4 linked regions of the Arabidopsis thaliana genome follow. The protein of the gene in region 2 purifies or fractionates together with the protein of the main gene of each other region. This does not show direct contact. Each region holds a gene or a part of one and is shown on either strand. Other genes may lie near its edges.

What was found.
Region 1: the proteins of AT4G28360 (region 2) and AT1G26750 fractionate together in Arabidopsis thaliana (co-fractionation; one large-scale study listed by BioGRID). This does not show direct contact.
Region 3: the proteins of AT4G28360 (region 2) and AT5G55140 fractionate together in Arabidopsis thaliana (co-fractionation; one large-scale study listed by BioGRID). This does not show direct contact.
Region 4: the proteins of AT4G28360 (region 2) and AT5G64670 fractionate together in Arabidopsis thaliana (co-fractionation; one large-scale study listed by BioGRID). This does not show direct contact.

Annotation. Positions count from the first base shown.
Region 1 is NC_003070.9:9,244,075-9,249,888, reverse strand, and holds AT1G26750 (uncharacterized protein), read right to left. Parts: upstream 3,033-5,814; coding exon 2,938-3,032; intron 2,727-2,937; coding exon 2,604-2,726; exon of another isoform or gene 2,353-2,603; coding exon 2,250-2,352; intron 2,103-2,249; coding exon 1,836-2,102; 3' UTR 1,615-1,835; downstream 1-1,614. Other genes in the region: SDG35 (SET domain protein 35), read left to right, coding at 1-1,585; AT1G26740 (Ribosomal L32p protein family), read left to right, coding at 3,334-3,594, 4,005-4,078, 4,540-4,609; AT1G26730 (EXS (ERD1/XPR1/SYG1) family protein), read right to left, coding at 5,239-5,338, 5,427-5,563, 5,651-5,814.
Region 2 is NC_003075.7:14,027,033-14,033,820, forward strand, and holds AT4G28360 (Ribosomal protein L22p/L17e family protein), read right to left. Parts: upstream 4,018-6,788; 5' UTR 3,895-4,017; coding exon 3,768-3,894; intron 3,641-3,767; coding exon 3,573-3,640; intron 3,318-3,572; coding exon 3,165-3,317; intron 3,050-3,164; coding exon 2,939-3,049; intron 2,774-2,938; coding exon 2,707-2,773; intron 2,552-2,706; coding exon 2,262-2,551; 3' UTR 1,951-2,261; downstream 1-1,950. Other genes in the region: AT4G28350 (Concanavalin A-like lectin protein kinase family protein), read left to right, coding at 1-1,590; ENODL3 (early nodulin-like protein 3), read right to left, coding at 5,980-6,398, 6,476-6,656.
Region 3 is NC_003076.8:22,376,732-22,382,694, reverse strand, and holds AT5G55140 (ribosomal protein L30 family protein), read right to left. Parts: upstream 1,700-5,963; 5' UTR 1,583-1,699; intron 1,363-1,582; 5' UTR 1,326-1,362; coding exon 1,134-1,325; intron 1,046-1,133; coding exon 908-1,045; 3' UTR 501-907; downstream 1-500. Other genes in the region: AT5G55150 (F-box SKIP23-like protein (DUF295)), read left to right, coding at 1-420; AT5G55135 (uncharacterized protein), read right to left, coding at 2,309-2,566, 2,656-2,736; AT5G55132 (Defensin-like (DEFL) family protein), read right to left, coding at 3,226-3,401, 3,543-3,609; AT5G55131 (Protein of unknown function (PD694200)), read right to left, coding at 5,706-5,890.
Region 4 is NC_003076.8:25,850,915-25,857,428, forward strand, and holds AT5G64670 (Ribosomal protein L18e/L15 superfamily protein), read right to left. Parts: upstream 3,154-6,514; 5' UTR 2,967-3,153; coding exon 2,562-2,966; intron 2,273-2,561; coding exon 2,189-2,272; intron 2,091-2,188; coding exon 2,001-2,090; intron 1,888-2,000; coding exon 1,621-1,887; 3' UTR 1,327-1,620; downstream 1-1,326. Other genes in the region: IDL2 (inflorescence deficient in abscission (IDA)-like 2), read left to right, coding at 1-170; AT5G64680 (mediator-associated protein), read left to right, coding at 3,519-3,635, 3,717-3,795, 3,856-3,960, 4,083-4,417.

The sequences.
Region 1 (5,814 bases), on a different chromosome or scaffold from region 2:
GTTGCAGAGCTTGAGATCTAAAGCAACGGAGCTTCTTCTTCGAGAAGAATGGGAAGAATCTATAAAAGTTTACACGGAGTTCATCGATCTCTCTCGGAGGCAAGTCTCAAGTACTGGTGGATCCGACCCGGATCCGGATTCGATTGCTAAGCTCCGGAAATCTCTCTGTTTGGCTCTATGTAATCGAGCTGAGGCAAGAGCTAGGCTACGAGATTTTTTGGAAGCAATGAGGGATTGTGATCAAGCACTTGAAATCGAGAAGACTCATTTCAAGACTCTTCTTTGTAAAGGTAAAGTTTTGCTTGGATTGAGCAAATACTCTTTGGCTTTGGAATGTTTTAAAACGGCTTTGCTCGATCCACAAGCGAGTGATAACTTGGAGACTGTTACTGTGTATATAGAGAAATGTAAGAAGCTTGAGTTTCAGGCAAAGACTGGAGCTTTTGATTTGTCTGATTGGATCTTAAGTGAGTTTCGTGGGAAATGTCCTGAGCTTGCTGAGTTTATTGGGTCGATTGAGATTAAGAAATCTGAGCTTAGTGGGCGTGGATTGTTTGCTACGAAGAACATTGTTGCTGGTACTTTGGTTTTAGTTACAAAGGCGGTTGCGATTGAGAGAGGGATCTTAGGAAATGGAGAGTGTGGGGAAAAAGCGCAGTTGATCATGTGGAAGAACTTCGTTGAAGAGGTTACTGAATCCGTGAGAAAATGCGGTAGGACTCGTCGAGTTGTCTCCGCTTTGTCCACTGGACAAGGTGAAGATAGTCTGGAGATTCCTGAGATAGCTCTGTTTAGACCTGATGAAGCATTTGAAACTTGTGGTGACTGGAAACAGAGTTTGGATACAGAGAAGTTGTTGAGTATCTTGGATGTGAATTCTCTGGTGGAAGATGCGGTTTCAGGTAAAGTTATGGGGAAGAACAAAGAGTATTACGGTGTAGGGCTATGGACTTTAGCTTCATTCATCAACCACTCGTGTATCCCTAACGCAAGACGTCTTCACGTTGGAGACTACGTGATTGTTCATGCCTCGAGAGATATCAAAACAGGGGAAGAGATTAGCTTTGCTTACTTTGATGTGCTTTCTCCATTGGAAAAACGGAAAGAGATGGCTGAGTCATGGGGGTTTTGTTGCGGATGCAGTAGATGCAAGTTTGAGAGTGTCTTGTATGCTACCAACCAGGAGGTTAGAGAGTTTGAAATGGGTTTAGAGAGAGGCGTAGATGCAGGGAACGCGGTTTATATGGTGGAGGAAGGGATGAAGAGATGGAAGGTAAAAGGGAAAGATAAAGGGTTGCTGAGAGCATCTTATTGGGGAGTTTATGATGAGATTTATAACTCAGAGAGACTTATGAAAAGGTGGGGAAGGAAGATACCAACAATGGAAGTTGTGGTGGATAGTGTCTCTGATGTTGTTGGAAGTGATGAGAGATTGATGAAGATGGCTGTGGAAGGGATGATGAAGAAGCATGGAGGTTTCAGTAACATTGTGGAGATGGAGAAAATCATGAAGCTAGGGAAGGGGGTTTATGGCAAAGTGGTATCGAAAAAGAAGGCAATGAAGACTCTTCTTGGCATAGAGTAACAAGTTACAAATGTTGAAACTAATTGCTTGTAGGATCAATAGAGAGAGTAACCATTTTGGTTTTCTGTAATTCCTTGCCTCATGGAAGGAAACATCCAATGATATTATTACAAAGACATTCAAATGGAAATAACACTTGTTTTGTTGCAAAACATTTGTAGTCAAAGAATGTCATATATGAAAAAAGCCAGTTCTACAAAGAAATTGGATGAGTAGTGTGCATAAAAAGAAAACGATGATTTTGAGTAATTTATTCGTCGATCCAATTATCCTGATTAGCACTTCCTCCGGTTCTGTCTTGCAGCAACACATCTTTCTCATTTTTCAACTGGTTAACTAGCCTGCGGACGCTAGGAGTCTGGAAGCGATCCTTAGCGGATGTCTTCGATTGAGTTATTAACCCTTTCTTGGCACTAGGATACGGTTTAGGAGGTGGATCCTTATCTTGCATTACCGCAAGCTCCTTTAAGCGTTTGTATGCTTTCTTCATTTCCTTTCTCTCTGAAAGATATTCCATCTGAAAAATCATCAAAACACAAACTCAGCAAGTTCGAAGAATAACATCTCCCATGTTCAAAGAAACGGCATCAACAGCAGCGGTACTACGATTCATATCTATTCAAGTATCGTAGCTAATCATAGACTGTGAAAAGAAAATACGTACATTAGCTACAGACATGGCGTCACCCTCACTGATGCCATGCTCCTTCAATTCAAGTACCCGGCAACCATACACACGTGCTTGATCTGGAATAAATGCTGATATCCTAGGTAATTGAAGATGATGCAATGAGAGGGAGATAGATACAGAATGAAAAATGGTGAAACTCTCCCATTGAATCAGAATTTAAGAGTGACACGTGCTTATAGTAATGGGTTCAAGACAAAATTGTTTGAAATTAAACTTCTTTCTATAGTGATGCATATCAGAATAAGCTTTATGAAGAACTAACTCATAACATAATCATCAAACTATCTTTGATACAAATGCAGAGATATAAAAAGTTGAGAATTTTACTTGGCAGGGTCATCAATTTTGGTTCCAGGATGCTTATTAGCGAATTTACGAACGTAAGGATCCTCAGGGAGAACAATCTTCTGGATTTTTCCATTGGAGCGAGGAAACACAGGAGGTGGTGATCTGCCATTAAAACCAAATCACAGAACACTCATTTCAACAAAACCCTCAAAATCCTAATTCACAGATGCCAAAATCTCAACTTTTTGTGCGATTAGAATTCAATTGCATCCGAATTAGAAACCCATTAACGGATGATTCAATAAGGAAGTATCAAATTGATCAATCGAGCCAAATCATTTGGAGAAATAGAAATGGGAGAAGAGAGGGTTACGCTTCCATGGCTTTAAGCCAAACAGGCTCTCGTGTAGCTAAGCCACCAACAAGCCTCCTGGTTTTGGAAAGTAAATCACCTTTCATCCACGACATTGTTGCTGAGCTTCTTCACTTTTCTTCTTCGCTTGATCTGTTATTGTTTTACCAGAGACGACGAAGACACAAGGGTTTCAGAAATGGCTCGATTTGATAAAACCTCATGGTTCATGAATTAAACCGGGTACATCACACTCTAAATTACGGTCTAAAATCGGTTAACAGAGCAATTGTATGGTTCGTATGTCAAAACGCAGCCGTTTCGTAAATACATTTGCCTTGATAAATTTTCACCTCTTTTGGGTTTCTTCTACTAGTCTTCACTTCCGTCAGCTATAGCTTTGGAGAAACTGCATCAATGGCGTTGAGATTGACATCGCTAAAACGCGCCGCGGTTGAGTCCTGTCGCATTTTGGAAACCCGAAGCTTAAGTCATGTCGCTGCGATGCCTTCCCCCTTGAACGGAGCTTTTGATCGCCCGATTTCTATGCCGCCGCTGGTTTTACCTGAGTTCGATCAGAATCAACCGGGTTTGATCGAAGAAAAGAGCTTCGGGTTCGGGCTTCCTAGTTTTGCTTTTAATGGATCCATGGAGCTAATGGCTGTGCCTAAGAAGAAGGTCAAAGAACTCTCAGTCCCTTAATTAGTTTTCTCCTTTCGTTTTCCACTTCTGAAATGATAAAATTTCTTAGGGTTTTGATTTATTGTGGTATCTAGGGTTAGCTTTTTTGACGGAGTCAGGGTTTATCTAGGGTTTTAGGAAGGTGCACTATAGGACTTATTAGTTGATTATGCAATTGAGATACTAAGTGCTAGATTGCTTCTTCTATAGAATCTATCTAAGAAATGTTGTCTCTTTGTGTGTTTTTGAGTGTCCATTGTTTTTCCATTTGCTTGTGTATCTTTGGGTTTAAGTTGATTTGGTTCCTTACTTCCTTTAGGTTCACATGTGAATGAAAATGTGTAATTTTTAATGGCTCCTTGGAGAATGATAGTGTTAATTGAAGCTGTTCTTGATGAAACATGCAGATTTCTAAACACAAGAGAGGGATAAGAAATGGTCCAAAGGCTCTTAAGCCTGTTCCTGTGATCATCCGTTGCAGGTAAGAGATTAGCTTCTCTTCTTTTTCTTTTTTTTTTTGTCCGCAGATTAGCTTCTCTTCTTGTTTTATCTGTTTGATGCTTCTTAATATATCCATTAGGTTGAGTTTGGTATGGGTGTTTAGTTTTGAGGCTGTGATAGAAAAATTCTGTTAGGTTTATCTAGGTTGTTGTTGCTGCAGCAACAGCTGAAGAATAAATGCATATGCTTTGTGATTCATTGTCTCTCCTAACTATCACTTGGTATAAACTGCACTTGAGTAACTAGAACTGTGTATCGTTAACATGTTTGACGAAAGACCTACTTGTGTGCAACATGGTACAAAATATGAGTCTAGTTGTTCGGTTTTGGTATATGTTTGATTTAAAACTTCTTTTGTTTTCATGATCTCATTGTGAGGGCACTTGTATCAGAATTTTATATATGCCGCCAGTTTAAGTGCACACTCTTTTGTGTTTCCAGGAGTTGCGGGCGAGTCAAGCTGCCACATTTCTTCTGTTGCAGCGGTGAGCGGCTAAACCCTACTGAGTAAGGCAATTCGAACAACTGGTCATGGTTTCCAATATGATTACTCCTTGTTGGATATCAAGAGGATAAAATCTTGGCTTTCTTAGTAGTACACTAGAATGATAAAAGACTTAGTTGATGCTGTTTTGGCAAATTATTGTATGCTGCAAGATCAATATTCTCATGCTTCTCTTGACAAATTATGTTATTGTCATTGCTTGTTGCAAAGTGTAGGATTATCTCATTCACTTTTATTTGTGCTCTTAGATTTGGATTCAACAGCTAAATATATTCGAAATGGATAAATATATTCACGTGAAACCATCTATACAAGCTTTTGAAGCTCTCGTCATGTACGCTCGCTGTCTCAATAACCTCTTAGTTTACTCGAGTGTCATTTCAAGGGTAATTTTTGGTTTATCATAGTCAAAGTAGCTCGTGTTTGGTAGTTTTATGGACTAATTTTGGTTTGAGATCTGATTTGGGCACATTGTGATAGCGAGCACAATGATAACCCTAGGTAAGATAGTTATATCCGAAGCCTCATTGTGCTCATTTCCTTCTCTTTAATGATTACAAACAGAGACAAGCAAGTTCTAAACAAAATTGAAACCCCACTCTTTGGAGAAACCTTGATTAGATCTAATCTAAGAGTTAACTATCTCGATCTTCCTCCTCGTTGTAGTTGAATGGTAACGGAACTGATTTGAATGCTCTGAACTTTCCCACATTGTTCAAGTGTTCATTCTCCAACCTGTGTTCGCAAGTCGTCAAAGGAAGAACCCTTGAGTAAAAAATGGTTTAAAGAGAATTTAGTGATCGTGTCGTGGTCAAAAATTTACCTGAAGAAATTCCAGATACCACGACGTATGATCTCAAGAGCAGCAAGAAGAGCAATCATCGTTTCTCGATGTAAGAACGATAAATTGAAATCAAGCACAGTCTGCAACCACGCCATCCTCAACACAATGTTTAAGACCTACAAAGAAGAAGAGGCAGAAACAAAACTTATAAGGAAACCATCAATCAGGAATTGTACTGTTCTTTTGATTTTCATAGTTCTCACGATTGCAACGTAGTAGACGGCTTTGTGAGGAACAAGAAGCTTCTCTCTCAACAAATGTTTAGATGGTCTGTGAAGTAATCCCCAATCAAAAACAATGTCCCAATATGTGCCGTAAAAAGTTGCCAATGCCGAGAAAACCCAGGCAGAGATTTTCCAGATGTTTC
Region 2 (6,788 bases):
ATCAACGACAACCACGTCGGCGTCGACGTCAATTCTCTCACTTCCGTTGCATCTGAAACTGCAGGTTTCTATGGAGGCAGAGACGGCCAGAGATTCACGGAGCTGAAGCTTAACAGTGGCGAGAATTATCAGGCGTGGATCGAGTTTAATGGGTCAGCGATCAATGTCACGATGGCTAGAGCTAGCTCTAGAAAGCCCATAAGACCACTCATAAGCATTCCATTAAATCTCACTGGAGTCTTACTTGATGATATGTTCGTTGGATTCACTGCCTCCACAGGACAACTAGTGCAGAGCCATAGGATTCTCTCATGGAGTTTTAGTAACTCCAATTTCTCCATTGGTGATGCTTTGATCACTAGGAATCTACCTTCGTTTAAATTGTCAGGTGACTCTGTTTTGAAGTCTAAAGGCTTCATTGCTGGGGTCTCTAGTGGTGTTGTGTTGTTAGTCTCTGTTATTGGGCTCCTCTGTTTCTACGTTGTAAGGCGTCGAAGGCAGAGACTAGAAGGAGACGTGGAAGATTGGGAAACAGAGTATTGGCCTCACAGAGTGCAATACAAAGATGTTTTGGAAGCAACAAAAGGGTTTTCCGATGAGAACATGATCGGATACGGAGGGAATTCTAAAGTGTACAGGGGAGTGTTGGAAGGTAAAGAAGTTGCGGTTAAGAGAATAATGATGAGTCCTCGAGAGAGCGTTGGCGCGACGAGTGAGTTCTTAGCTGAGGTCTCGAGCTTAGGGAGGTTGAGACACAAGAATATAGTTGGACTAAAAGGTTGGTCTAAGAAAGGAGGAGAGAGTCTGATATTGATTTACGAGTATATGGAGAATGGAAGTGTCGATAAGCGGATATTTGATTGTAACGAGATGTTGAATTGGGAGGAAAGAATGAGAGTGATAAGAGACCTAGCCTCAGGGATGTTGTATCTACACGAAGGGTGGGAGACAAAGGTGTTACATAGAGATATAAAGTCAAGCAATGTGTTGCTTGACAAGGATATGAACGCGAGGGTAGGTGATTTTGGGTTGGCTAAGTTGCAGAACACTAGTAAAGAGATGGTTAGCACGACACATGTTGTTGGAACAGCGGGTTATATGGCGCCTGAGTTGGTTAAGACAGGGAGAGCATCAGCGCAAACCGATGTGTATAGCTTTGGAGTGTTTGTGTTGGAGGTAGTGTGTGGAAGGAGGCCAATAGAGGAAGGAAGAGAAGGGATAGTGGAATGGATATGGGGACTAATGGAGAAAGACAAAGTGGTTGATGGTTTAGACGAGAGAATAAAGGCGAATGGAGTGTTCGTGGTCGAGGAAGTGGAGATGGCTCTGAGAATAGGACTGTTGTGTGTGCATCCTGATCCGAGAGTGCGTCCGAAGATGAGACAAGTGGTGCAGATATTGGAACAAGGGAGATTAGTGGAGGATGGTGGTGAAAGGGAAATAAGCTTGTTGGAGAGAGTGAAGAGCTCTTACTTGTTGGAAACTGGTGAGGGAAGCAGACAACAACATCCCACGTTCCAAGATGTATGGAATTCGTCTTCTTATTCTAATTCCTTCCAAACTTATGATTCTATTCTTCATGGAAGGTGAAAAAACTAGCCTGGGAGTATTTTTTAATCGAATTTCTATACTATTAGTTTATACATGCTGTGTGATTCTTTTGTATATAAGATTGTATGTATTTGATGACTAAATTGCATGAATCATTTTGGGATGATGGTAGGGGCCTGTGACTGTTATTTATTATTATTACTATCAATTATAATGATATTAAAATTGAATTATGTTGTAACATAGTGACAAAACAAATATCATATTAATAATAAAAAATTAAAATATAAATTTCTTAAATAAATGACTAAATAAATATTCTCAACAAACAAAATGCATATGTATATTCATTCATTTATTCTTTTAATATCCAAAAATTGCATTAAGAAGTGGAACAAACTGATAAAAATTATGGACCTTCGGGATTATGATGATAAATGTTGTTTTGATTCGTCAAATTATCCAGACGATTTTTTTCCATGTTTCCAACACAAGTTACATCCAAAATGATTGTTAACACCTCCAGAAACAGAATGGAGAAAAACAGAGACGCTTTTGTTAAGTGAAGTTTCCTCTCTGGGAACATGTTTATTGAATACAAGAAGCAAACAGGTCCTATAGAGTTCCAATACAATATCAAACCAAAACCAAAAAAAAAAGCAATTTACCATAACAGAGAAGCTCTTGTTGCAATTGCGGGAACAAAGATACTAGTGAGACGACCGTACCAACTCTGAGGACCGATGATTGGCTTTGGTACCTCTGCGGTTCCATATTGGACTTGTCTCGATGAGCTTGTGTGGTACAAGCTGTCTCTCCCGTTTGCTTTTCTTCTTAAAATTGTGAACTTTGAGCCTTGCAATCTCAGCTTCTTCCTCTGGAGTCGTCTCTCTAACTATGACTGTTAGGCGACACCGGGGTATTGATATAATCCCGCTTCTTCCTTTTGCATGGTAAGCTACCTTCTTCCCAAACAGTCCCTTCCCAACAAATGCTTCCGCTGCAATCACATATCACAAGCTTAGATGAAATACATCGTTCTGGCATATCATGTTTGCTTCCTTAAAGTACCAATCGGCGAACTCTCTAAAATATCACGTTCTCTTTTTAAATGTAAAACAAGGAAATCAGGGATCCAGAATCAGTTTTACATACCAACAAGGAGACGGTCAGGATCTAGTCCATGGTTATGAGTAGCATTTGCCCGGGCAGCGTGGATAACCTGCAGTATAATGTATTTAACTCCTTTAAGCATTGTATTAACAAAACAAGTTGTATGCTAAGTATCATTAGATGAGGAAAGTTATCAAATGCCTGGAGAGGAGATTAGACTAGACACTCGAAATCCAACAGTGATTTGTTTGTAAACTCGGATCTCAGAGATTACCCGGTACACAGTTTGTGCAGCTCGTTTGACTGTGACCTGCAATTGGATCAAAGCATCTTCAACACGCATGCCACGGACTAGTGCTGCAACCAGGTTGACCTTCTTAGGACTCTGAAAACAAGCAAGGTTGGGCACATTATATAACTAGATTGAGATGGAAAAATATTAAACGAAATGGAGCAGATCATCTGAAAAGTAAAACTGTTCTAGGAGTTAAAGAAGACACCTGCTTTATAGACTTGAGGACAGCCTGAACTTTCTGACGCTTTGGGATAATCTTCTGCTCTTCTTCTTTTCCACTACCCAACAGAGCTGGAGATGACAAAGGTGATGATACAGGCTCTTCACTCGCCTGCAATTGTCTCGAGGTAGAGATCCCCTGAAAACATACCCAAATTGAAATTTCATACCCTAAAGTACAGGTCCCTAAGTTGACTAGAGACGCATAGTTCCAAAAGATGAGTCTCTTCGCCTAATTCACATGGATAACAGATATAGTCTCCCACTAGCAACATTCTCACTTCCCAAATTTTGAAATTCGATTTTTCAATGCAGCAACAAATTTGCTATATCAGGAAACAAGAAACTCCAATCTCAGTAAAACACAAAAGAAATGTCGATTCAAATGCATTACCAGTTGTTGTAGATGATGATACAGTGGTCTGGAGGAGTAGGATGGTCTCAGGAGACTCTGCAAGTAACCTATAATCACCAGCAAAAAAACTCAACTCAAACACACAATTCACAAACACGAAGACCAGATAACACATGCCCTTTGAAAGACCCACTAAGAAACACACTAGATTTCGGAAATGATCAAAAAGTCAACCTTGTGAGAAAGGGGATTCTAAATTCCGAGTAGAAGAAGAGTAATTTGCTGTAGAAATGTGACTGTTCTTCACTCTTCTACCAACTTGACGAATAACAGTCTGCAAATTCCTCTTCCAACCCACCATTTTGTTTCTGAAAACGCTAAGGATATGAATCAGAGAATGTAAACGATTGGCTCAATGCCGGTTCTACGGGTTTTCGAGGAGTTGCATCTGAAGCTACAGTACTACTGAAGAAACAAAATTAGGTTTTGTGGGGAAGATGATGAACACACCAAATTTGGGCCGAGCCCGTTACGTTTAAGCTTTGAGAAAAGGCTGGATTATGGGCCTATGACATCCGAGTTTATTTTATCTTTTTGGTTTCTATCCACATTTGATTGTTGAGAAATTAATAATATTGTTTTATCTTATGTTTAATTAGTAAGAGCTTATTAAAATTTATTTTATGGATTTTATTATACATTTAATTTATAGAAAAAAAATTCTAGTTTAAATGCATTAAATTCCGGTATATTAACTTTTAGAAAGATATTTTTTGAAGTAATTAGTTTTGATAAGTTTAAGAACCTAATGTGTTTTGTAATTATTATTAAAATATGTTGATGTTTTTGCTTTCTACACTTGCAGGTCCGTGCGATAGGAGAAGGGATGAGATTTAGATTTGGACATGTAGATGATGAACTAGCACATATTAGGGATCAACACCAGCAACTAATTTCTCTTCTCTGTGCCATTGCAGCAAATATAAGAGGTGACGGAGCAGAGCCGTGCCAAGGTCAATGGTTGCCGGAGGCGGCCAAATGAAATTTGCCCCAATTCACAAGCAAAGATGCTTATAATAATAGAAGTAAAAGTGTTTACAAAAATAAATTGTCATATGACAAAAGATTCAAAGTTAATTTTTTTAACCAATTCTATATCGAATGCTTTAACCTAAATTTATAATGCTTTGTTCTGTTTTATTTATTTATTCTGTGAATATTTTTCTATTTTTAATTCTATATTTTTATTATTTAGGTAAATGTAAGTGATTTGTCAATATTAAACCTATGAAACTAAAGTTATCTTGTAAAAATATATGCTCCTAAGTTTTTTTCAAAAATTTGAGGACGTAGGCGAATGTTTCTTTCTTTTGCCTTGAGGCACGGCTCTGTGACGGAGTCCCACCACCTTTGGTGGGTAAATTTATTAGAGGTCCTTAGGTGGTTGGAGGTGGAAGCTATACTTGTGTATTATTTCATAATATTGCCCATTTCATCAAGTTGTTGGCCTATCAGTTTTGTCTTATCATCCACTGCTTGAAAATCTTGTTCTAGTCGCATGAAAATCTCCTAATAAAATTTTAAGATAGTTAAGAGACTTTGTTGTTTTTTTGATGGTCAATAGCAAATGGTAGTAGATACCCGCATTTTTATGAATCTATATCATATTCCAAACAAAAGACTTCCAAACAGGAGCGTCCATACTAGAGACATTAGAGATCCAGAATCAAACTTTCAACTTTCGACCCAAGGGCTGGTATTAGTCTTACAACAGCCACATCCACAACAAGAGGCAAGCTCTTCAACAAAAAAGAGTCAATCGGCTTTATGATTGAGTTAACAACCTAAATACCAACTATTTCATTGGTAATTTGATCTGCAAAAACATACAATAATTAACATAATTTAAATTTTTTGTCATATAGCCGTCTTAGCTCAGTGGTAGAGCGCGTGGCTTTTACCCACGAGGCCGTGGGTTCGATCCCCACAGACGGCGGTAGTATATTTTTTTTGTTAACTCCTTGACATATTCTCTCTATTGGATTTCGGTGTACCGGTTTAATATATTGATTAAAGTTAAATTGTTCAAACCATTCTTATATGTACAAAAAGTGTATAAGATCTATTTATATGTTTCAACAAGATTTTAGTTTGTGTGGAGAAGTTTTATTGCATGAGCTATGTGAACTCTACATATTCGTCGTATATATTCATATTAGTGTGATCATAATTAAAACACAAAATAAAAACATTCGCATCTAATCAATACAAAAAAACATCTTAAATATTTTCTTTAGTAAGAACAAAAACGAGACAGCGGAAACATTAAAAATGGGTTACAAGATGCTTCAAACATACAAATAAAAAGGCACATAAATATGAAACTCAATGGTAGAGTAATTAATACCCTCACAAATTTAATGACTAGCGACAATATATAAACCCCTCAAAACAGAGAACTTATCATAATCACAAGAACCACCATCCCCGGACCAACCAAACCGGCCGAATTGGGAGCTGTAGCCGGTCCTGGAGCTGGAACACGAGAGTTTGAATCAGATGATGGTTCCACTCCTGGAGAAGGCCCCGGCGAAGACAACTCCTGATGGACCGGAGACGGGGAGGGAGAGGTATGACGAGGAGAGTGGCTGTGGTGGACGGTGGACAAGACCTTGACGGCTAGCTTCTGACCTTTAAGACAGTTTTGAGAGTTGCCACTAATGAAAAAGTAGGAACCTGAGTGGCTAAGTAGGAAGAGAGAGTCTCCGTCTGAGAGGGAAGTCAGGGGGTGTGTCGTGTTGCATGTGTTGTACTCTTGTTCAGTCACCTCCAACACTGAATCTTTTCCCTTGGCGTACTTAAAATCTTGTAAAAATCAAAATTACTATGCATTAATATTGACACATTGTGTATATATAGTAGAGAAGAGGAAATAGACTTACGAAGAGTGTCGTTGACTTGAAACCGGTTTCGGTGAGACCAATGAGAATAATCTTCGGAAGGAGTCGGGACCCAACCATCTTTCCCACCAACATAGAACTTGTATCCATTTGATATCGTAAACCCTAAACCCATCAACATCACAAACATAAGGTAAAGATCAAACCTCATGACCAAACCCATCTCCGATGCAAAACGTTAATCAAACCCCAACTTCTTACTAACTCTTTTGAAGTGAGTGTGTGTGTGTGTGTGTGTTTGCAACCTCAAGAGGTGCTTATTTATGGTGAAAGTAAAGAAAACATAGCCGTTAGG
Region 3 (5,963 bases), on a different chromosome or scaffold from region 2:
AGCACCTCGCCGTTTCGGTACGACTCTTGCAAGAAATACTTGGCAGAGTCGGATTACGACGAACTGTGGGTGGTCCTAAAGAAGCTGGAGCTTAACGACGATTGTGATTTCGAAACCTCTTTCGAGATTTACGAATTCAATCGCGAGACTAACGAATGGACAAAGGTGATGAGCTTGAGAGGAAAAGCTTTGTTCTTGAGCCCTCAAGGTAGATGTATAGCTGTTTTAGCAGGTGAGAGAGGATTTTTCAAAGACAACTCAGTTTATTTCATTGATGGTGATGATCCAAGTGTAGGAGGATCAGGGCCTCAGAATCTGAGCGTTTTTGAATGGGAGAGTAAGCAAATCATGAAAATTTACCAGCCAAGATCTTGGAATTGTCAGATGTTTTGGGTCACACCAACAGACGTTCCTCAGTGATGAATGACTGATGCATTGTAGAATTTGTAGTTTGCATAGTATAGGTTTTGTATTTCAAATTTCAATTCTTTGATACATTACAATTGTCATCATACATTTTGGTTCTTCATCTGTAACATATATATTAAGTTATGATTATTTCAGCATCTATCTTTCTCTCACTACTTTCATTAATCAAATTGAAAGGTAACTTTTTTGAGAATCAACTTTCACATTCTCAATCTTGAAACATTGGCCACAAAAAAAAAAAAAAACCGATAGATTTGAGATTGACAGAATGAGAGCAAAACATACACAAGTATCCAGTGTATACAAAAAACATAAAGAGGCACCAAACACACTGATACCAACATTTCTTATCAAGCGTCTAGGACTAGTTTACTTCCTGGACACCTTTAGAGAGAACTTAAACATAAGCCGCCTACAATATCCAAGCGGATCTTATCGAACTGACGGTAGAAGAGCTTACCATCTTATGAAAGTACTCTCAAGACATGTTGGATGAATCTGTTGCAGGACTCGAATGACTGACAACGAGAGGCGGGCGCAAAGCTTTGTGGTTGGCTTCTGCTTCTTTACGAGCATTGTACATTTCTTCTGTTTCAACAACAACCATCCTTTTAACCTACATAGAGGCAAAACCAACCATCACAATTTTGAAATCTAGGATTTTATGACAAATGAGAATAGATAAAAAGATAAAGGAAGAGAACCTGATCAATCATTCCCCTAATGGATGAATTGTTTGAATGCAAAACAGTACGATGACATCTACGAAGTCCCATAGCTTCAAGTGTTCGTCTGTGAAGCTTCCTTGTTCCAGGGAGACCTCTTACTAAGGTTATGTACAAGCTCTGGCTCCATTCAATAGGCACTTGTGCTTTGAAAGCTCTAAAACCACTCATTCTTTTTTTTTTTTGTCTCCTTTATCACTCAATCTCTCTGTAACCATTAACAAAATCATAATCAAGCAATCACACAGAATTCACCGTAGAAATCAATAGATACAATAAACGAAGACGATTGATAACATGAATCATGAGAGAGTGAATCATCACGAATTGAAACCAAATCAGATCGATCAATTCAGAAGAAAAGAGGAGCTGCATAACGCGAGATTTCAATTAGGTGTTTGAGATAGAAATGGATGGTTTTCGAGTACCTTGAGGAAACAGAGACGGGAGAAGTCCGGTGAAAGAGATCGTCGACGAGTGTAGTCAAGACGGCGAACAGAGCTCGGAAAATCTTTGAGATTCGCGTTTAAGGGTTTTAAGCTTTTAGCGGAACAATGGTTAAACGACAGCGTTTTGTAGATTAGCTTAATTATTTGGGCTTTATCTGGGCCCAATTATTGGCTCCTTTACCTTTTTATAATTTGTTCAAAAATTACTAGATTGGTTTCATTTTTTTTACATCAATCTTTAGATTTATTAATCTTGCAAAAACAATTTATTTCAGAAAGTGTATGATGAACAGTCAAATTCCACTGCTCTCATCACTAGTTCTAACCTCTAAATTGGTAAAAGCTATTTGCTAGGTAGGTGTATTATTTAAGGTTTTTCTACCTTCTATAAGTTCAATAGCTTTAAATCTTGGGGTTGATCAATATTATTACTAATGAGTAATGATGCATTATTAAAAAGAGAAAATTATCAAAGTAAATTATATTTATACAAAAGTAGTAGCTAAATTACATAACTAAAAGAAATCGGTAAACTTACAAATATTGGTAGACAAGAAAAAGAGAGAAAAAGGGCAACCGTTCTTCTATCCATTACTCGATTTATTATACAAAGTACATGAAGCCTATAATATTACATACATGATACATGATGCATATTATTACATACTACTACTTTACAAGTGATATCTAACAAATGCACATACGTTATATTCCTTTAGCCGTGTTGATAGGCAAACCATCATCATCATCCTCAGGTCTCTTCTTATAATTATAGTCTTTCTTATCTAAAAACGCCTCTTTCACCTTCTCCACATCCGCCTCAGAATCACCGGAGACGTTTACCGCCACCGCAGCTCCGTCAAAAGCCTTCTCAACTGTTTGGCTAGCAACACCTTGTCTTGTGAACTCCTCCGCCGTCGAAGAAGCTCTTCCTTCTTCCCTCCCTCCACTCGCACTTCCTCTCTACATATTAAGAAAACATCTCCAAAAATCTTTGTATATATATATAGTTAATCTATTTCATGAAAACGTAGGAATATCAGAATATATACCTTGAGATAAAAAGAGTAAATACATGATGTTGTTATATTAGGCTTGGAGATTGATTTTGGGTTCACATAATTTCTCAACATTTTTTCTTCGGAGGTCTCTTATTTTTGCAGCTTAGATTAGATCAAGTACCATAGATGAATTTTCCTATAGCAGTTAATTGAGACTTTTGATGTCTCATCAACGGAGGTTATGATTATGATGCCACGTGTGTGTGATGCGCCGTCGTAGCCAAAAGATGACATGTTTCCCAGGGTTAGTCACGACGTCATGCAATTTCCTTTGTAGTTAAATCCAATATACGAAGATTTCTATTTCATATTCTACAGTTTCATACATAACTTTACATGATCGATTTGACAAAATCGATGTCCTAATGACATTAACTATAAGTCGAACCGCTGTCGTTTTTCTTGTGGATTTTATTGTGTACATGTATTGAATTCTTATAAACATTTTGATGAGAGAGATTGGGGGTTGGATCAGGATGAGATTATATCAATTATCATTATATAAATATATGTTTTTAATAATATCTTATGATCGAGAGTACATATAGAATAAGAGATCAATCAATTGATGACCGGACTGGAGATGGGAGAATTAGAATAATTGTTGCAGCAACAAAATATTTTAACAGCCCCGTGAATTTTAGCGCTTTCACAATACCCTCCGCCTCTCATCATGCATCTTGTATTGCATCCTATTGTGCTTTTACATCCTTCCGTACATTTATCTGAAATTAGTCCTATACGATTTTATAAATAAAAAATTCATCAACAAAAAATTTATAAGCAAAAATGGTCAGTTTAATATTGAAAACTGTAGTTTTTTAAGAACAATTTTTTTAAAAAAAATATATAATTTGTATAACAAATAAATGTGTTACCAGAAATCATAGGTATGGTGAGGAGAGCAAACACCATCAACGTAAGTAATCGATGAGATGCAACCATTTTGGTTGTTATTTGTTATTCTTTCAAGATGATTCTATACCTGCTTCTCAAAACCTATTAAAAGCGAATTTCAAAGTTATTGTTATAACAAAAACAAAAATCTAGTAACATATTCTAAATATTTTATATTATTTTTGACTTACCTTTTGTATTTGTAATATTTCAGTACTTATTGAGAATGATTTGTGGTGGTCTTGGATGTACATTTATATAGACATACGTATATACATATATATATATATATGTAAATAATAAATCTTCCATATTATTCAAGGATTTTTTCTTCTTTTTTATAGTCTTATTTGGGTCAGATAATAATTTTAGTCAAAATGTTTCATTATTTATTCTTATCTGTCATTGGGATTATATTTCATTCAAATTTAGTTTATTTTAATAGGTAAATAAATAAATTCGTAAGTTCATGAATTCTCTTAAAAACCCAACCGGTCTACCAATCTGGTTCGCGGTTAAATCCGGTTAATGACAATAAAAATAGTCAACGTACGTTTTGTCCCGTTGACTGACATCGTCTTCTTTGCTGCTTTAACCTCTAGGGTTCTACTATTGGCTCTTTAAACATTGTCGTGATGGAGTCGGACGTCGGAGATTCGTCGGAAATTGTTCGGTAATTGGAAGAGTTAAAAGCTCAAGAAGACAGAAATAGAGCACTTTATTTCGACCCTCGAAGCTAAGCTCCAGGATACGGTGGCAGTTGAACGGTACGACGACGTATACTTTGATTATGATCCATGTTGATCTCGTCATGATGATCATTTTGTCGAGATAGCCGGTAAAGTCTATAGTTCAGTGTTGTTGCCTATCCAAATTTTTGGTTATGATCCGATCAACAAACAGTCAATCAGTTTCAAGGTATCGTCGAGTATCAACTTACACATGCAAGATTTGTATCTACTTGCACAAATCATCTTGTTAGTATCAACTTCTCACAATACATAGAGATTGACAATAAGATATCCAGATTGTGTTGTATCCAGATTACACAAGATATCCTTTCTTCATCTTTTACTACAATCTCGAGAAAAATATTATCACAAAAGTAAGAGTTTAAGCACCAATATTATTTTAAGTGACAAATCCAAACTATGTAGAACATGTTAAACTTTTCATGTAAGGGTTTAGTCCTTTCAAACAGAACTAATCACAACATTTATCTTTGTTAAAAAAAATGTAAGAGGTACTAATTTTCTTCTCATATCGTAAGAGTTACTAACTTTTTTTGGGAACGACAACCAATTTCTCCACTAATCAATATTTTCTTCTTTCGTTAGCCTTGTCCACCAATCCATGGAAGTTAGGCATTGTCGTTTCGGGTCCTTGAAATAAAACTTTGGAGATGTTGTCGATTTTTTTTTTTTTCTTTCTAGCAGTAATTTTGATTCAAAGACATGGGACGTTTGTACTTGTGCAAAACAAACTAGATATTCGTTTCCTTTAAACAAGTTCGGTTTACTTTCTCCACCTCCATCTCAGAATCACCAGAGACGTTTGCAGCCGCTGCAGCTCCGTCATAAACCTTCTACAATCTCTTATCATCATTGTCTGGCTAGCAACACCTTGTCTTGTGAACTCCTCCGCCGTCGAAGGAACTCTTCCTTCTTCCCTCCCCCCCACTCGCACATCCTCTCTACATATAAAGAAAACACCCCAAAATATTATCTTATTGTATATATATATAGTCAATTTATTTCTATATTCCATGAAAACGTAGGAATCTCAGAAATATATATGTACCTTGATATAAAAAGAGTAAATACATGATCTTATATTATGCTTGGCGATTGATTTTGTATTTACAGTTTCATGCATAAGTTTTCGTATTTACAAAATCATCTTTGGAAGTGAACATTGAAAGAAGTAGTTTTTTTGGTTGCGAAGATTAGAGAGGTAAGACAAAATCGATGTCCTGATGACACAATAAACAAAACTATAAGTCGAGCCGATCGATGTAGTTTTCTTATACATGTACATCAAACAACATGATGAGAGGGGGGGGGATGAGATAATATCAGTTATTATTATTTGAACATACGTTTTTGATTCTTATAATCGAGAGTACATATAGAATAAGAGATCAATCAATTCATGACCGGACTGGAGATGGGAGAATTTGAATAATTATTGCAGCAACAATAATTTTCAATAGCCAATCGGCCGTGACTTCTGCCTATATATGCTTGACAATGCCCTCCGCCTTTCTTCATGCATTTTATATTGCATTCTGGTGTGCTCGTACATCCTTTTGTACATTTTGATGATTGTCCTATTCGGTTCATAAACAAATTCATCAACAAAAAATTTAAAAGCAAAAATGTCCAATTTAATATTTTAGAGTT
Region 4 (6,514 bases), on a different chromosome or scaffold from region 2:
ACACGAACGTCTTCAACTCGAAACCACACAAGAAGCACAACGACGCCGTTTCTTCTTCAACTAAACAGTTCTTGGGGTTCTTGCCACGTCACTTCCCTGTTCCAGCTTCTGGTCCCTCCAGAAAACACAATGATATTGGTTTACTTAGTTGGCATCGATCTTCTCCGTGAGAAAAAGCTTGAAAGGTCTTGAATTTTATTTTCTTTCTTTCTTTTAATTAGTTATATGTTTCTTTCATTCCGGTTCCTCTCTTTTACCCTTTGCTTTTGAGTTTTAAGTTGGTGTAAATGTTTTTTATTTTATTTTTTTTTGGTAATGCCAAGAAAATGGTTATTTTTGTTTGATTAATGTCGACAAGGCTAAACATATGATTTATTATTATGAAATTGTAATTGGAAGTTGTATTATTTTTTGGATAGCTCGAATTTGTAATATTGCACGTATCAAAGTGTGTGAGCCGATCATCCTCATGATATACACGTGTTCTTGTTATTATAATAATAATTTAACTATCTGAAAAAGTTTATGATTAGTTCGAAAATTGACTTTGAATATTATATCACAAGGACTAATTTGTATGTGTGTTTGTAAAAGAATAGATCAAATCTTTAAACTTTAAAGAGGTTTGAAATATATGGTGTAACTAAAAAGTCTGATGTAGAATGGTCTTGAGATTTATAATCGACTTTTTTCTTGGGATCTATCGATTTGTTTTAATGATAACCAATAATGTCTTTGAAATGTCTATTGTGATTTGTCAATGTGATGGACCAAGGTTGCATCTAATTCTATAGCCATTTAATTTATTTTGACATTAAACGTGACATTTATGCCGGAAGGTGATCATCAATAGGTACATAAGATCAGAAAGGTGTGATCAATAGAAGAAGATAAACAGAAACATTTTTAAAATATAGTGTATGATATTGAACTGCACTTGATTTTAAACAAATACGTAATGATCATTTTTAAAGACAAATAAACCGATCTAATTACATATTTATTTGATAATAAAATACCAATCGAGTACTCTTTTTTTTTCGTAGTTATTTAATATAATCAATGCTATAATTAACAGTACAGTACTCATCATTACATGTTTGTTAAGAGTAATGAGTTCTGAAACCTCGAAATCTATCTTCTTCTTCTTTAATCACGTTCGGTTGTTCAAATTCAGACAATCATAGCCCCTTTTCGATAAATTAGGTAAATTTCGCACATCGTTTTGGTAAAATAACACTGCAAAAAAGGGACATAATCTCATAACCTATATATTTGCAGTTGCAGATTTTAGCATCTTTAGTCAAAAAAAGCAAAGTTACCATTGAACTCATTAACATTAACAACGCCTCAACCAAACCGGATAATAATGAATTCAAATCTAACGTGATTGTTCTCTGGTTTTCTCAACCTTCTACAAGAACAGGCCTTGATCCCAAACAACAAGTCTGAAAATGGTTGAATAACTTGTTGTGGCCAACTACAGATAAAGTAAAACGAGAAAGACCTTATTTGTCAAATTAAAATCCGACATTCTCAATTTTCTAGTGGTGAACATTGACCAAGAAACAACACAAACAACTTAAACAGAAACATCAAACGTTAAATGGCAGCCCAAAATTATGATTCAACAGGAGATTCAACTTTGGTCTCCTCAGCTGCAAAGAAGGGAATGGGTTTTTTCGGAGCTGGAAGACGTCCAATGCTATCAACCTTATCTTGTTGTTTAGGAGGTGGTCGCGCTGCTTTTGGCAATAACCTTCCTTTCTTCTCAAACCATTCCGGTTTAAGCAATGCCCTTAAGCCCAACTTGTTGTAATACACTCTTCTCACTGATCCTCCTGCTGCTTCCACCACCTCTTTGGCCCTAACCGTCACTCTCGAAACCTGTAATAAACACGCTCATACCGATCAACTGAACATCTAACTAAGCAAATACATTGACTGGTGCAACGGCTCTAGAGACTACAGAGCAAAAGTTAATAACGCAAATGATAAACCTCGAAATGAAGTGGCCATTTGATATCATCAGCACCACGACCCATTAGTCTTACTCCATCTTCTATTTGCTTTCCTATGGCTCCCACATCCTGCAAACCGACGTTAATGTGTTCAGTAAGAATCAGACATATTAAGAATCCTAAACTCAATTTAAACCGTTGAATCAAAGAGTGAAGTATGACCGAACCTTGAGCGTTTTCATTGTAATCAATTCATGAGAATCTATCTTCCCAGCGTTTATGAGTTTAGCAATCTTCCCTAGACCAACCGGCTGCATCACAAAACAATCATAAACATCTTTAGTCGCTGCATCAATAGAGTGTCAAATCCTAAATCCTTACACACACAGTATAACCTACTTCACCACAAGCAGCTAAAGAACAGCAATAATGGCATACAGAAAGAAGAACAAGAGTGATCCATCTGATTTAGATTCTCAAATTCGACCTAATCTAAGGAATCAATCACAAATGTTAACCCTTCGAATCAAGGGAAGCTACAAAATCCGAAACTTGACCTCAGAAATGAAAATCCCAGAACTAAAAGGCACAAGCTTGAACCTGAAAATGGAGCTTAAATTTGTTCTTGAAGCCACGTTTGGGTAAACGACGTCGTAGTGGAGTCTGACCACCTTCGAAACCAAACTTCATCGTTCCTCTCGCTTTTTGCCCCTTGTGACCTCTTCCAGCAGTTTTACCTTTACCAGACCCAATACCTCTTCCTTTCCTCGTCTTGAGTTTTCTCGGCACATTGTCTCTCAGATCGTTCAAGCTCAATAAACTATAAGCCCTGATTCCTTGAAACGACAAAGCCCTGCTCGTAGAGGTCGGAATTTGAGTAGAGATCGGAGAAGGACGGCATTGAAGAAGTGGTGAAGAAATGATGAATCTGGGTTTCGCGGTTTGATGAAACGAAGAATTGATGAGTGATGTTGATATGATCGACAAGAGTCTTCTTCTTAACATTTCTTCGTTGCGGGATCAAGTAGATTTCGATTTTAGAGATCTCCTGATGAAATTTTGATTATTCCATTTTGGGGATTTAGGGTTTATGAGATTTCAGTGAAGAGCTACTGAATCATCCATCACCATTGCTTTCTTCTTCAGTACTGTCACTTAAAGGCCCATTATGGCCCAAATGTCTTTTCCACCCGCCAATTCACTAAACTATGTCGTTTTGAGTGAACTTCAAAATAAAATAAAACAGAGAAATAAATTGGGAAGGGTTTTAGGTCATCGCCGAATTGCTATTTCTCCGGTAACGATTCTCTCTCTTTTCCGCCGCCGACGAAGCCATCTTTCTTTCTCTTTAGCTTTCTCGTTCCGATTTGCATCCAGTTTCTTGATTTTTCTAACTAATTTATGTCTTTTGAAGAGATTTATAATTGCGATTTTGACAGAGTTTGAGTTTGTTCAAAAGCTTTGTTTATTATATATGTTAAAGCTCTCGCTATATTTAACACTTGTTTTCTCGATTTTGCAGGTTTTGTGAAATCGCGAGAGCTGATTTGAGCAGAGATGGATTTCGATTTCAAAGTTTCCGGAGATTTCATAGTCAGTGGCGCAGAGCAGCTAGATGACACTGATTTGACGCGTTCTGATGAGTTTTGGCTTATCCAAGCCCCTTTAGGCCAAGTATGTTTAGAGAATGATTCTTTATTGCAAATTTGATCCTCATGTAATGTTCTACAGCTAAATGACTTTTCTTTATCGCAGTTTCCAGAAATCGAAGAGAACACTCTTAAGATTGAGCCAGACAAAGATGGGTTATTTGGAGAATTCAAGGATTCAAATGGTATGTTTATGTTTTGTGTTCTTTCATACTCTTTAATATTTTAGTTTTGATCTCCAAAAGCTGGCTCATTACACCTTTGTTTAGGTGCAAAGTATGATCTTGCTAGCTTTCATTCTCAAGATGCTGGTGCAGAGTTGATTATACCTTCTGAAGAATCAATGATTGGTATATTCCCATTACTTTACAGTTGTGTCTTGTTTAGGTTTTGGTCGTTCAGTTTACACAGTTTTGTTTTACCACCTGTTTCGTTAATAATGATTCTTCTGTTGTTGTTCGTTTTATGATAGTTGGGAAGATTACTCGGCGAGTTGCATTAGTTCGTTACCCTGAACCAAACGAGTTGCTTCAGAAAATGAAGGCTAGAACACAACAGAAGCTTGTCGGATCAGTGACGAATTCCTCTAAGAAATCATCTAACCTTACTCAAAGCAGCCGGCATAAAAGCGGCACACGTAGCAGCAGAGAGAAGAGCATGTTCTCTGGCTTCACCGAGACTCCAAAGTCGCCAAAAAGAAAAAATTCAGAGTCTTCCTCAGGTAAACATCGGAGCTCAACAAGTACGGTTTCAGGCTCTTCAGAACGATCAGCAAAGTCCAAGAAGAAGGTGAAGAAGGAAGAGTAAAGATCTTTGCTCCTGTTTTTTTCAAAGAGAATGTTTGTGACTGTTAAGATGTTGAATTTCGATTATGCAGATGATAAACAGCCAGTAATGTATTCAAATTCATAAGTTATTTCGCCGTAGATGCTTATAAAAGTTCAAGCTTATTAGCTACCATGGAACAAAGTAAAAGTAAAATACAGCTTTTCAGCTATGTTTGTTGTTCTTTTGTCTTCAAGCCTCTGTGGTTGGAGTTGTTGCAGAGTCTTGTGATATTGGCTTCCATTGTTGCGGAGTTTGAGCTTTCGTTATCGAGAGAGCATGGATTTCTTTCATCTCTTCTTCAAGAGCAGCGTTCACAATACGGTGCCTCTCGAGCAATCTCTTCCCCTCAAACTGTTCCGAGATAATCTCAACCACAAAACTCGCGCCACAGCTGGGAAAAAAGGGTAAAGTTTAAATTGAAAACTGGAGATGAGATGTCAAAGGTCGATGATTGAATAAATGGTATAGTGATCATAAGACTTTACCCTCCAGATGTGTCGATGACTTCCTGGTTTTACACATGAATTAAACCAAGTCAGTGATGTTGTTATAAAGAAATAAGATCACTTATGCCCAAACCACATAAGTGAGTAGTCATGTTAATATGGGCTAACCCACCCCAATTAAACCCACCCCATTTAAAGTGACAATATCATTTCCATAGCCATTTGCTTTATATCCTCATCATCACAAGTGACGTACTTCTTCAATAGTAATTCAATCCTCCATACTTGGGTGAAGTATACATTCGATGTCGGATACTTGGAACCTGAAATATAAGTAGTGATTACACTAAATGGCTTCAACAAGTCACAAATCTTTTCACCACGATCCCACTCATCATCTGATGGTAAAGACTTATAATTGGTGTCAAAAGCCTTCATGCTATCAAATGCTTTTCTAAACTTCAATGCTCTAGCGAGCATTTCATATGTAGAGTTCTATCTGGTTGGAACATCAAGAGATAACCCTGCCCCACTCCTTATTCCCACTCTCTCTACACAGGCTGCAAATGCCTCTTTCCTCTGTGGAGATGCTTTAACATATAAAACACTTTCTCGAATGTTGTGTAAAACATCCTTAGCTAACTCTAAACCTTTCTTGACAATGATGTTAAGAATATGAGCACAACATCTAATGTGCAGAAATTTCCCATCACATAACAAACCACTGCCACTAATCATCTGAAGCTGACCCTTGAGGATTTTCACCATACTATTATTATTGGTAGCATTGTCTAGAGTCATAGAAAGTACCTTTTTTTCTAGTCCCCATTCCTTTAAACAATCAAGAATCCTATTAGCAATATGTTCACCAGTGTGCGGAGACTTCAACTCACAAAAATCTAGAATATAACTGTGTAAATGCCAACCTTCATCGATAAAATGCCCAGTTACACAAATATAACTCGTCATACTAGCCTTAGCTGACCACAAGTCCGAAGTAAAAGAAACTCTACCACGATGCTTTGCAAAAAGCTCTTTTAACTTTTCTTTTTCTACTTCATATCTCACAAAAACATCAGCAGCAGCAGTTTGCCTACAAATAGGCTGATAATCCGGATTTAAATATTTGTCTCTCGCTCGGACTTTCTCATATTCTACGTATCGAAACGGTAAATCATGATAGATAATGACTTCACTAACCATCTCACGATCTATCTTCTGATCATATACCGGCCTATCTATCTTCTTAGGCATCTTAGGACACTTCTCTAAATGGCGACTTAAGTGATTTGTTCCATAATTTCCATGTGGTCTACTACTAGTACATATCACCAACTTTGTACCACAATGTATGCACTTAGCTCTTTCTTTTTCATCACTCTCTAACCCTACTGAAATGAAATCATCCCAAACATTTGAAGTTTTGCGTCTCTTACGTGGAGTTTGTTGAGTTTGAGTCGGCTGAATTTGTGTTTCACTTTGCTCCGGTGCTTGCACTTCTGCATCTTCCTCATTCATGTCTATTAAGTCATTTTGTGCATTGAGAAATGCAATTGTTTGTAGAGACTCTAAATCCATTCTGAAAAAAAGAGAAACAAAAGCACTAACGTTAGTTTACAAAACTAAGACT